Linked DNA regions of Drosophila melanogaster. The protein of the gene in region 2 interacts with the protein of the main gene of each other region in a pairwise test. Each region holds a gene or a part of one and is shown on either strand. Other genes may lie near its edges.

The links. Proteins that work in one complex are often made in the same cells at the same time.
Region 1: the proteins of CG13373 (region 2) and Sox21b interact in a two-hybrid assay, tested with the Drosophila melanogaster proteins (one large-scale study listed by BioGRID).

Annotation. Positions count from the first base shown.
Region 1 is NT_037436.4:14,126,925-14,132,848, forward strand, and holds the start of Sox21b (Sox21b), read right to left. Parts: upstream 4,401-5,924; 5' UTR 4,214-4,400; exon of another isoform or gene 3,634-4,213; intron 1-3,633.
Region 2 is NC_004354.4:473,616-479,980, forward strand, and holds CG13373 (uncharacterized protein), read left to right. Parts: upstream 1-3,368; 5' UTR 3,369-3,531; coding exon 3,532-3,676; exon of another isoform or gene 3,677-3,991; coding exon 3,992-4,316; exon of another isoform or gene 4,317-4,397; coding exon 4,398-4,461; 3' UTR 4,462-4,576; downstream 4,577-6,365. Other genes in the region: ebo (ellipsoid body open), read right to left, coding at 1-90, 149-585, 695-891, 1,083-1,465, 1,543-1,698, 2,154-2,677, 2,779-2,781; CG32817 (uncharacterized protein), read left to right, coding at 6,029-6,330.

The DNA of each region.
Region 1 (5,924 bases), on a different chromosome or scaffold from region 2:
AAGCGGCTCGGGTGCAAATAGAGTACACAAAAATGTAAAATGGGAAAGAAATGGGTTTCAAGTGCCCCGTCGCATAATGGAAAGGATGGACGACGACGTCGTCGTAGTCGTCTCATTTGTTGTTGTGTTATTGTGCATCCCGGTCGGTTTTAAGGGTTGACATTTGGCCCACACAATGGGCGCTGAAAAGGAGTGAGTCCGATTCTGGACGAGTTGAGGTGGCAACCGCCAGCGCGGCTCGCAAGTGGGTTTTTTGGCCCAAAAGTCCACGACTCCACTCGGCATTGTTTTCTTTTTGTCCCCGAAGAATGGGCCTCAGACGACATACTTTTAAGAGCTGAAATCAATTAGTTAATTGATTAACAATGCCCCAATGAGCATTGAGGGGTCACAAGGCGTAGGGGAGGGAAACGACTGCGAGTTGTTGGCGAACGCAAACGGGAATAATTCATAATATAATTATATCTGAGTGGCTAGTCAGCTAATTAAAGTGGACTGCTTGCAGTATGAATTGAATTGGATTCCTTTAAAATTCATGTAAAAACTTATCAGGTTAATTCACTTTCTAGTTAAAGTTTATCAGTATTACATCTGAATAATCATGATCATTGCTAATCATTTTAATTAGGGAGGACACTTAAGCGTTCTTATTAAAAGATAAATAAAGTGGTTGTTGTTTTCAGTTGGGATAATTCAAATATTTTGTATCACTAAAACGTGGTAATATTTTCAAAAGAAACAATGCCGTTGACACATTTCTTGATCTTTATGTTTAAATCATCTGTTTTATAAATAGCTAAGCTTCTTAAAATAATCACCAAGAAATTATTTAAGTAGCATACATTTAGCATTCTTTGTTTACTTAAGGAGGTAAGTGCGATCCCATATTGTACGTATTGCAAAATGTATATGTATAATAGGGCTTGTACAAGATAAACTATTAGTTGCTTGCTTTTATTAAAGCTAAAGACTTATTAAATTATTTAGAAAATATAATTTTTTAGGATTTACAGCCTATAGTAGATAAAAAGCTACTAAAAAGTTGTTGAGACTCATAAATCTAAAACATAAAACTATTTCTGGATCGTTACGTGTACTCAATAATTTTGGAATATCCTTGGGTTTATGAAGTGGCCAACTGTGGTTCGAAACTATTTATCTTTATCTGTCCAATTCGACTGTTTTTTCTCTGCTGCCATATTCCGCAGTCTCTCTTTTTGGCCCTGTTCATTGGCATTTCTGGCCATGCAACGCATCGTGGTCAATAACTTGCGTTGGGCTATGCGAGGCGACATCTGTACTGCTTCCGGGCATTACCACTTGGTGTTAAAGTAAAAATTGCCCAAGCATGCGTATTAAGCATGAAATTTATATTAAAAGAAAAGGGGGAGCTGGGAACGGGGAGCGGTTAGCAAAGGGACACGCATATTTGTAATCCTTATGGAGTGCAAACAAATTTCTGTGTTGTCAAGTTGCTCTCCATATTTTTGCTCCTCCTTTTTATGTTGCGAATTGGCAGAATACACTGAGAAAAATGAATTGATTATGTTTATTTGTGCCTCCACTCAAGGTATACGCTAAATTTCATATTTTGAAAACACTACGCATATATCAATTGATATGAAGTTGCATTTATGTTTGGATTTTTATTTTCGAACTAATTTAATTTTGTGATTATTCTAGTAATTGAAATGGCAATAAAACCGAAAATGACTATGTGGACATAACACTTGTTCCGATGTGGTGCAGTGTCGCAGTTGCAGTATCAGTTGCACCACAGGGCCACCATCCGAATCGACGGTTGCACCACCAGCTGTGCACAAATTGCACTCCAGATATTTTTATTTGCTGTGAATATGCCAGCTCCTCCTTTTGATTCGCTGCACCTCCACGCAGACCGAAATGCAGCTCCGATATTTATTTGTAACGGAAATGTAACCGTTAAACCCAAAAGCGTGGGTCTTCTCAGGGTGTTAATCTAGTAGCCTTAATAGATAACCCACCAGAGGCACCTTATGTCCGACTCTTTCTCATGGAAATCGAGTGCTGAAGCCGTTCTTCTGTTTCGGACTTCGTATCGTATCGCAGTAGGAGTAAAATTAACCCGCTGGCCACTTGAGTTTCGGGGGCCATATAGATCCACTCGTAACCCCCGACCAAGTTGGCCGTGTTGTTGCTGCTTCGCGTTCATTTGTTCATCCGTTTGTTGGTATGTCAAACAAGAATTATGATCGGCTTAGCCACATGCTGAGCCCGAGATCTCTCCCCCAGCCATATTCTTCTGCTCATTCTTTAGCGGCGAAGAGGAGTCTCGCGGTCTGCAGTCTTCCACCTCGTCTTCAACACAGGTAGAGCTTTAAGTGTCTCCACTTTGTGTTGAAATGTATCGCGGATACGCACCGGGTTTTCGGTCCCAGCAGACCCTCCATTCAAAAGTGTCGTCTTGCCCGCCCGCTGCGATCGGATCTTCTCAGGGCCCTAAGTCGCTGGGCCCCCTAATGTTTGTAATTAAGAACTTTCACACTCGCAACAATCGCCTCGTAAACGTGCCAGTGTCTCGATAACCACATACCCTGCTCCTCCAAGGTTTAGTGTCAAGTTTGTGCCAAGGGCTATCCAAAGGGCTATCGAAAAGAAAAAGAACCGATACAAAGTCAGCTAACCATATGTGTGCTGATACAGCCGGGTATTAATTAGAATTTTTTCATACTCTTCTTTGGATTATGCCTGTTTTTTTGAGCAAATTTATAAAGCGAACACAATGGCCAAAAGAATGGCGTAAAAATATTCGATTGACATCTGGTGCGCAAAATAATTTCAGAAAACTCTGTTTGCACAATTGGGTTTTTTGTGTGCTGGTCCAAAGTCGATTTCTATATGATGGGGGCGCGTCACATTAAATTCAATTGTTGTCACATTTTGTGTAAATATATTAATAAACATACGTTGTTTTTCCCTATTTCTTTTACTATTATTTGCTCTAATTGCGTCATTTCAAATTCTCTGGTGCTTTTGACTCTCTTTTCATTGCGGCTTTTCACATACCTTGAGTCGGTTTTCATTTATATTTCGAAATTAAGTTAACCAAACAACTTTGAATGCCCCTCAGAGAAAGAAAACGAGCTTGCTTTAATTCAAGTGGAAGATCGAAAGCAAAAGTAAACACACCTCGAGTGGGGCATAAAGATTCCGACAATGATTTCGCAGAAAATGAAAAGAGGAAAATCCTGAAATTATCCAAACAATAAAATCTGTTGATTCCCCTTGTATCTGACGCACTCAGACTCATTATGTGGAGCTCTCTCCGTGTTTACCTAATTGATGGTCAAGAAAAGTTGTTCAAATTGCGTTCTGAACGGCGGTGAATTAAATGAAATTTGTAAAGGGTTAAAGGGATTTTTAATTGATTTTTTACCTGCTTTCTGACTTGAAGTAATTTCAATTAACTTGGAAAACAATTTTAAGACTTATGCTCAGTTCTATGGGATCAGACTTTATCATAGATCATATTTTACTTTTACTAAAAAAATGTAAGTAAATGTGTTTATATGTAGTTTTGCTAATTAAAATCAAAGCAGCTAAGTTAAACAACTAACTAAAGAATCCATAATGTTTTGGCTTCAATGAAGTTACCTCGAAGAGTTCTGCATTTCCTTTAAATTTCCCGTTTTCCGGCGATTGGAATCAAATATTCGATGGCAGCATATATGCGGAATATACTACCGAATTATTTGGATAATATGTGTTTATGGTTTGTTTTTGTCGCTTATGAATTCCACTTTCCGAACTGCCATAAAATGTTGAATTTGTTGACTTTTATGGTCTTGAGCTGTTTCGTAACAGAATCTGTTTGACGAACACTTTTCCAATGGATATCACTAGTTTATGTTGACGTGTGTTGTTTGCTTTCCATTCATCGATAAGATACTTATGGTGCATCCAATGTTTTGATGCTACAAAGAATGGAGCTTGTTTGATTTGAAGTTTGCAAGATAAATAAGTAGCTTAGGATTTCAAAACTTTATGAGACTTTTAAATCGCTTTGCTTTATTTGGATTTGTATTTTGTTTCATTTCTATGAGCACTTTACGAGCGTTGAAAGTTGATATCATATGAGCACTGTTTTTTGAATTGGTTTGTGTTTTATTATTTAGTTAAATGGGAAAGAAAAGTTTGGTTTGTTTAGGATTCACTTTTACTTTGGGATATTTACCGAGAACAGTTTGTTTATGTTTTTAGTATTATCCTTTGTATTTTTTTTTTGCGAATATCGGTTGTTTCTTGGCGTTTCTTGTGAGGGGGCTAAAACCGTCGCTAGCTGTTGGCTGATCGGCTCTTCTTGGCCAAGTTGGCTGTTGCTGCATCTAAGCGCGCTTTGGCGGCTATTCAACGGATCCGTTCCGACGCGTAACTAAAAACTTGGCGCGCGCTCTCTTCAAAAACACACGAGCCAAAAAACGAGTCTTTCAGTCACCGAATGGGGCGGGGGGCGTGGCAGGTGGGGCGGTGAGACAGCTGCTATGTAACAGTATCGCTCCACAGAAGCACACACACACATACTCAGCAAATCCTCTCTGCAAAAGCTTGTGTTCTCTCTCGCTCTGGATTAATACTTTTTCCGAGAGCTTTCTTTCTTATTGGTTTGTTAAATGTTTTTTATAAGCCTGTTTATAAAGAAACTACATCCACAACAAATTCAAAATTGAGAGCAAAAATATCGTTGTATTGGTGAGAGAGAGGCCCAACGACCAGGTGACATTTCGTGAAGGAAAGAATAAAAAAAAATCCAAGAACTGCGACGTCAGGAAAAAAAAGACGAGAGCAACAGAGATAAAAAATGTCAGACAGAAAGGGATGCAGAATGCAGAGGCAGGGCGGTCAACCAGAGCAGGTGTTGCGTGGGAGTGCGAGCGAGATAAACGGAGTAGCTACTAAGCCACCATAGCCATTTCACTCTAAACAACGAGTCTCATGATGGGCGTTTCCAATTGGAATGCTTCTGGTTGGGGAAGGTTTCGTGTTACATGAAATGCCAAGTGGAAAATGGGGGTAAAGTGGGGGTCTACGACGGTCTCTTTACTGGTAAGAGGTGCCACCATTGGGAGTGAGCTTTTCGGGAGTTTCTCGATTATTTACCGCATTTGCTTAGAGACCAGCAAAGAGCGTCCAAAAAATAAAAAAAAGGTGAAAAACAAACTATCGAAAGCAAAATCAACTAATCTTAATGGACATTTATTTTTGAATCGAGCTGAACCGTGGAGATCTGAGCCTGACATCTGGCCCGCAACTACGATTCGCCTTTGGCCAATTCCCAAGCTCAAAATGGTGGATATGTTAACCAAGGTGGCCATAGTCCAAAATTGGTCCAGACAGACCACTTTGGGACACTTTATCTTTGGCTCAGACAAAGATTAAAGTAGTGTCTGTTGTAGATTCGCACATAGTACTACATTTTGATCTAAAAAACACGTTCTGTACTGGAATGACAATTAACGATTGAGTGTTTTGACCCACATGAAATACCATTTCCAAAATTAATTTTTTTATATCTGTGCATGATGACACCTGGACTTTAGGAGTATATAGTCCTGCAAAGTGCCTACTATTGCTTTGCAATTTTTCGTGTCTACATTATTGTTTTGTTAATTTGCTTTGGTGGTGGTGGCGTTGCCAGGACAACGGCTCGTAACTCCGGAGTCCCAACTCCATTCGCATTTGGTCGGGCTTTGTTCCAGGACTTTTTGTGTAAAGGGTTTTGGGTGGGCCAGGGCATTACGCAGGTGTTGCCATTGTTTCAGGGCGGTTTTTAGCGCATTTTGATTTCCATTCACTCTGTCGTGTCGAGTTCTGTCGTCTGGCACTTTGGCTTCGTTTTAATTAACAACGAACTAATGACAAATGCAAACAGTGTGTACCTGCTATAA
Region 2 (6,365 bases):
ATAGCAAACAGGCGGTGCAGCAGTTCCTCGCCGCTCATGGCTTTCGTTAGCGGAAAGATGCTCCTCATGGCCAGTAGAACTTGAGCGTATCTGAAGGATCAAGAAAGCATAGTATCACATACATCATGCAAAGGGATGCCCCACTTACAGGTTGTCCAAATCAGTCTGGAAAGTAGCTTTGTCCATTTCGCTGCCGCCGCTATACAAACGATTGCTTGCGAGGAGCTGTAGAGTCTGCAGCAAACTGTCGGACAGCATCTGCAGCTGGCACTCCATCTCATCAGCAACCCCGGGTGCTGCTGTTGATGAGTCCATCAATGGGGCCAAACGCACGACCGCCTGGCAGACGGTGGCAAAGTCGCGCAAAATCTCGCCCACATTGGCGCCCTTCAGTTTACGTGCCGCTTCGTAGCTTCGAGCGCTTCCGTGGTCCAATGCGTGCTCCAAGGACAGTAAATACATCTGTGGCCGTGACCAGTGGTTATAGACCTGTGCGAAAACGATGTGTGCACCTCTGGTGTTGGCCAGTAGGGCCAGGGACTCGAAGCATTGGTCTAGAAACTGCTGCCACTCAGTGGCGGAGGTCTGAAATTGGATGAATGTCTAGATAAAATGAAGATCGTTCTAATGCAAGGTCTATTTCTTGGTTTTTGAAATTTGTCACCTAAAAACACTTTAAATCAGAGCTACTTACATCGTCCTCCATGAGCTCGTTGTCCAGCACTTCTAGCTCGGGTTTGTTGGCCTCAAACTGAGTGCGCCTCATAATCTCATCTACTAGCTGGGTAAGCACATTGTTATAACGCGTGATTTTGGCGGGGTGCTGGGCAATGCCTTTGATGATGGGTGTCCAGATCTCAAGCTTTTCGGTGAAGTCCAAGGCGCCGTGTACTGTTTGGGGAATACAAAATTAATAACTTTTGTTATATATCTTTGTCAACGACATTTCGAAATCTCGATCACGAGATGCACATAACCCATTTAATATTGCGAGTGTTTTATGACTACACAGCAAAAAGATCATCTCAAAATAAAAAATAAGTTAGCATCTCAAAAGGCAATATTTTTATCACGCGACTCACATTCAGTGGTGCAGCTGTATAGCAGATTGAGAAAGGTCTCCAGCAGGTCTGGCTCCTGCATCAGCTTGGCGGCATACTTGGTGGTGTAGAGGCGCAGCAGCTCCCGAAACTTGTCGCTGTACATCTCGCTCTGCCGCCGATTGTTATTGTGCTGCTCCAGGAGGCTGGTAACGCCGCCCATCAAGGGTCCTGGGAAGGGCAGTGGCTTCTGGAGGTAGAGGAGCTCATTCAACACAGAGAGAGCCGCCAAGGAGATGGGCTCATGGGCTGGTCGCCACTGGGAAAGGTCAAGTATGCTCATAAGGAAGTACTCCGAGATCAGTTCAGTGCGTATCCAGGAGACCAAGTGCTGCACACATCCTAGCAGGTCCAAAATTGAGGAACTGCGGAGTATATAGAGAGATGTTATAACAAAATGTTGTAATGAACATATGCTCTTTTGAATGTTATGATGACCCACCTTAATTGATTGTCATTTGGCAGCGCTGAGGTTAGACTAAAGTCCATGAGGGTGTTTGGTATGGTTGTTTGGATGTCTTTGCCATTGATGTGGCATACAGCGATTAGCAGATACTTGGTTACCAGGTCCAGAACATCGGGTACACACATGGAGATGCTACAGAAACACACGGCAAAAGGGAGCACAAAATGGGTTAGGAACAGTGCTGTGGCAACTGACCAGTAATTATAGTGCTTTCTCTCAACAAAGCAATATAATATGATAACTGGGTTAACGGTTCAATTAGTTGAGTTTTAAGAGGTCAGCTGACTTTAGTTGTTATGCCATATACATACTCAATCTCAATATAACACTTATTAATAAACCAAAAACAAGAACGGACTGACAAGGTCTGGGATTGTGTTATTCTATGTTGTGCGACGCAATCGTGTATTTAAACAAATAACACCAAAGTTAATAATAAAAATACGCTATGCTCGAAAACATCGACCATCTGATACGCCGTACTCAGTTAAAAATCCAAGTAGTCTTAAACAGACATTAAAAGTATGGGACTACAAAACCTTTTTTAAAAAACATACGATTTTAGCCTCTTCGCTCTATTTACCCACCAGGAGTAGAAGTACTGCTTCCATTCGGTGGTCAGGTCGCCCCTGTTGCTTACCACCTCCTCGGAGGTGATCTTAAGCAGGTTGATGCCAAGTTGAAACCGTGTTTTTGTCAGTTCCATGCAGTGTTGCATGTAATTGGGGTCCTGTTCAGGGAACTCCCTCTTTCCGAGTAGGGCTATCAACTGGGCCAGTGTGTCCCTGTGCCGTTTGGCCACATTTGGAGTGGCTACCAGTTGGGCATACGAGTTCCAAAGGGTCTCCCGCAGCAAAGTCTTGTCCGTGGACGTCAACTGTGTCCATCTCCGCGTGATTGTGTGCTCCAAGGTTGAGGTGCTGAAGAACCAGAGGAACTGATTCTCCGTGGTGTCGGAAGAGGTGGCCACACGGAGGCAAAGTTGCCACGCCTCTGGCTGGGACTTGAAGGCCAAGAGGTTTGTCTCGATCTCTCGTTTCCGGGCATTGGAGGTGCTGGGCTGATAAAACTCCTGCAGCAGTCCCTCCACCGTCGTCAAAGATGCGGCGTGCTGCACAGACAGTGGGTGGGTGGAAACCAATTCCCGGTTAGGTGGAATCACTCTGAATCACTGGCAAAATAGTGCGTTTGGCCCGGAGCCCCCCGCCTCACCATTTTCCGTGTCCTTTACGATCCTTCCGAGTATCTGTGATCTGGATGTTACGGTCACTGTGAGCTCCGCTTGCTCGCGGTTCTAATTCCGATCGCATCAGCAGTCGGCGTCCATTAATTGCATGGTTTTCTTTGTGTCTTTACACAAAAGGTGGCCAAAATCTACTCCGGGAAAGTGAACAAATTCCGCACGGCTGGCAACCCTGGCCGATAGTCAATAAATATCGATAGTTGTTGGTTATGGGTATTTTGAAATAAAAAAATTCTACCTTTCTTATTTTAATTACCTAAAACAAAATTTTTTTTAAATAAAATTGGCTATATAAATGTTTCAGCTAAAACTACGAGCGAGCAGACAAGCATCCAATTCAAATCCATAGTTATACAAATATATATATATATATATATATATATATATTATACAAATGTAATAAATTTTATATTTTCAGTCATTTTAATCTGATAAATTAAAAATGCTGGACTATTCCAAACAGCTCATAACCAGAAACATTTTGAATTTTCCGCCTAACCGCAAATTCGATCGATAGACGATAAAAAAATTGATCGCAGTCGGCGCTTTTGTATGTATTTTTTAATATGGTAGCACTATTCTAATAAGGCAATATTGTTAGCAAAACGGGACACTGATTAACTGTTAGCCTGCAAGTTAGGAAACCTGAAAGTAAAGGATTTTCAATTGATATTTCAAGACGTTCCTATCCGATCTGCCCAACAATCTGCCAGTATCTCATCATGGAAAACCAGGTCCGTAAAAAGGCGGCAAAACGATCGCGATCAGCGGATGGCGACGCCAACAACAATCTCACGCAGCGGAAGGTATTTGTGAACCAGAAAATGTGCGACTCCCGTGATCCTCGGAAGATGAAGGAGGTCCATGGTATGTAAATTGCCTTATTCGCACCAACTTATCTTGTTTCGATCCTGTAATGGAGGGGTGGGAGATTGGAGAGATAGCGCCGCTCAGAGCGCAGTTATCCCGGACTTGTTGCTCACTTCAGTTTGAACAGTTAGACGCGAGAACAAAAAATTGAGCAAAGCAGCGACCTCTAATTTACGATGAATTTACGCATAAATTTTTTTTTTTAATTTTTTTCTTGCTGTTCTTTTGCACGTCCCATCGAAGCTGAGTGTCTAACCCTCCTTTAAGTGTCTAACTCAACTGGAACTCTCCGATTTTCTATTTCTTTCGCAGAGAAGACAATCAAAATGCTTTTCGATGGCGCAGCCGGCAATAGGCAGGGTCAGGGCCAGAATGCCCTGAAGCCATTGGTACAAGGCCAGGAGGAGCCCGCCCTATGCGAGCAGTACTATCTGCTTGGCGATGGTTCCATCGTTCTGCGCAACCTTCGCACCGACTTGTCCAATCCGCGCCTGGAGAGAGTGAAATCGCGCTGCTGCCAGCGCCAAACGCTCATCCACGACATATGCGTCAACTGCGTGATGGATCTCTGCGAGGAGTGTGGCTACTCCTGCGGCGAGTGCTCCAGGTTCATTTGCCGCAGCTGCGTGACTTTATTGTGAGTTAAGTCCTTAAAAGAAGCATCCCCCTTGGGAACACCTTTTATTTGAAAATCAATCGACCATCATCTTATTTCCAGTGGTAATCGAGTTGAAGAAGAGAAGGATCCCCTGTGCGAGCACTGCCAGATGTTCTTCAGCTAAGGCTTTACACAATCCAGCACTTATAAAGTCGCGGTGCTTGTTAAATTTTAAGTTCTGAAGCAGTACAAATTTGGGACGACACAATGTCAAATGTATTACCAACCAGCTCCGTTTCACTTATGTCCTGTAACTGCTTTCTTTCCGGCCGATAGCCTGGATGAGATCCTGGCACAGGAGACTGGGCTGGGCTGCTCGGTCTGACATCAGGTTACTGTGTTCTTTTAACAGCACAATCAGGTTGTCTGTGAGTGCATTATACAGATCCACAAATAGCTGCCAACTGCCGCCGTGGCTGATCAAGTACTTGATGTCTACATCCAACATGCTGCCAAGAAGGCAATCCAGGGACTCTCCTGTGAGAGGGACCGTACGATTCCCGGCCAGATTGCGCTGGGCCTCTAGGAGTCATAGGGCATGACCAGAATATGCCAAGTCTTTGGGTTCCGGTTGAAATGGTCATTAAGGATCTAAAGAGAACATTATTAACTAGGGAAGGAGAATAAGGTACTGGGGAAGACTCACCGCTCCCTTCACGCTGCTCAACGAGCATTTGGCAAAGAGCCAAAAGAGTTAGCACATTCTGGAGCGCCGTGTGCTGCGTTTGCGACGCAGGGCGTGCCATTTGCTCCTCTTGTGAGGAAAGACGGCGCAGGAGCAGTAGGAAATCCTCGTTAGTCTTAAAGACAATGATCAGATATGTCGGAAGCATTCATCTATCCCTAGTTCGTCTAGGCATGGAGTTTTTAAGGTCAGATGCAGCCCCACAAAAGGACGAACAGTTTGCGAATTGTACTCTTCTTACAGCTTTTCAGGCCCCTGAGAGCGTCGAATCTTAGTCCGATCCTTATTATCCTTGCGAAATTCAACGCGCCAAGCATTCGAATAGAAGCTTGGTGCTGGACCGCAGGGCATCCTGGAGTAGCTCAGAGCTGAGACCATGGGCAGACAATCTTGAACAGAAATGGCCGACCCCCGCAGACCACGAAAGATGAAGAGGGTCCTTGGTATGGAAAGCATTGTCCCACTTGCACCAACTCACCTACTCTCCTTCCTGTAATGGAGCGGGTGGGAGATCGGAGAGACAGCGCCGCTCAGAGTGCAGTTATGTCGGGCTTGTTGTTGCTCAATGCAAAGATGAGTTCAGTTTAAACCGTTAAACACGAGAACAAAAAATGGAGCAAAGCAGCGACCACAAATTTACGAGGATAACCCCACGAAGAGATTGGCAATAAACTGCTACAGTGTTCAGAAATTCGCAATTGCAAGTAAGAATCGATTGGAAACTAATCGATTTTGTGATTTACTGATTTTGGCATTTTGAATAGGGTCAAGTCAGCTTGTTTCCCGCGATCGGTCTCACTATTTTACTGTCATTGCAATTTGGAAATTTTAAGGGTTCTGATTGCACTTCTCGCTGACCTCAAACAAATCAAGTAAATATTCTTTTTTTTTTGCTGTTATATGTCACGTTCCATCGAAGCTGATGGAAGAGCGGCGTCCTTGAGGTGTCTAACCCTGAACTGGAAATCTCCGTTTTGCTATTTATTTTGCAGAGAAGACAATCAAAATGCTTTTCGATGGCGCAACCGGCAATGGGCACGGTCAGGGCCAGAATACCCTGAATCCATTGGGGCCAGGCCAGGAGGAGCCCGCCCTATGCGAGCAGTACTATCTGCTGGGCGATGGTTCCATCATTCTGCGCAACCATTCCATCGACTTGTCGAATCCGCCCCTGAAATCGCGCTGCTGCCAGCTCCCAACACTCATCCACGACATATGCGTCAACTGCGTGATGGATCTCTGCGAGGAGTGTGGCTACTCCTGCGGCGAGTGCGCCAAGTTTATTTGCCGCAACTGCGTGACTTTATTGTGAGTTAAGTCCCAGAAGGAAGAAGCATCCCCCT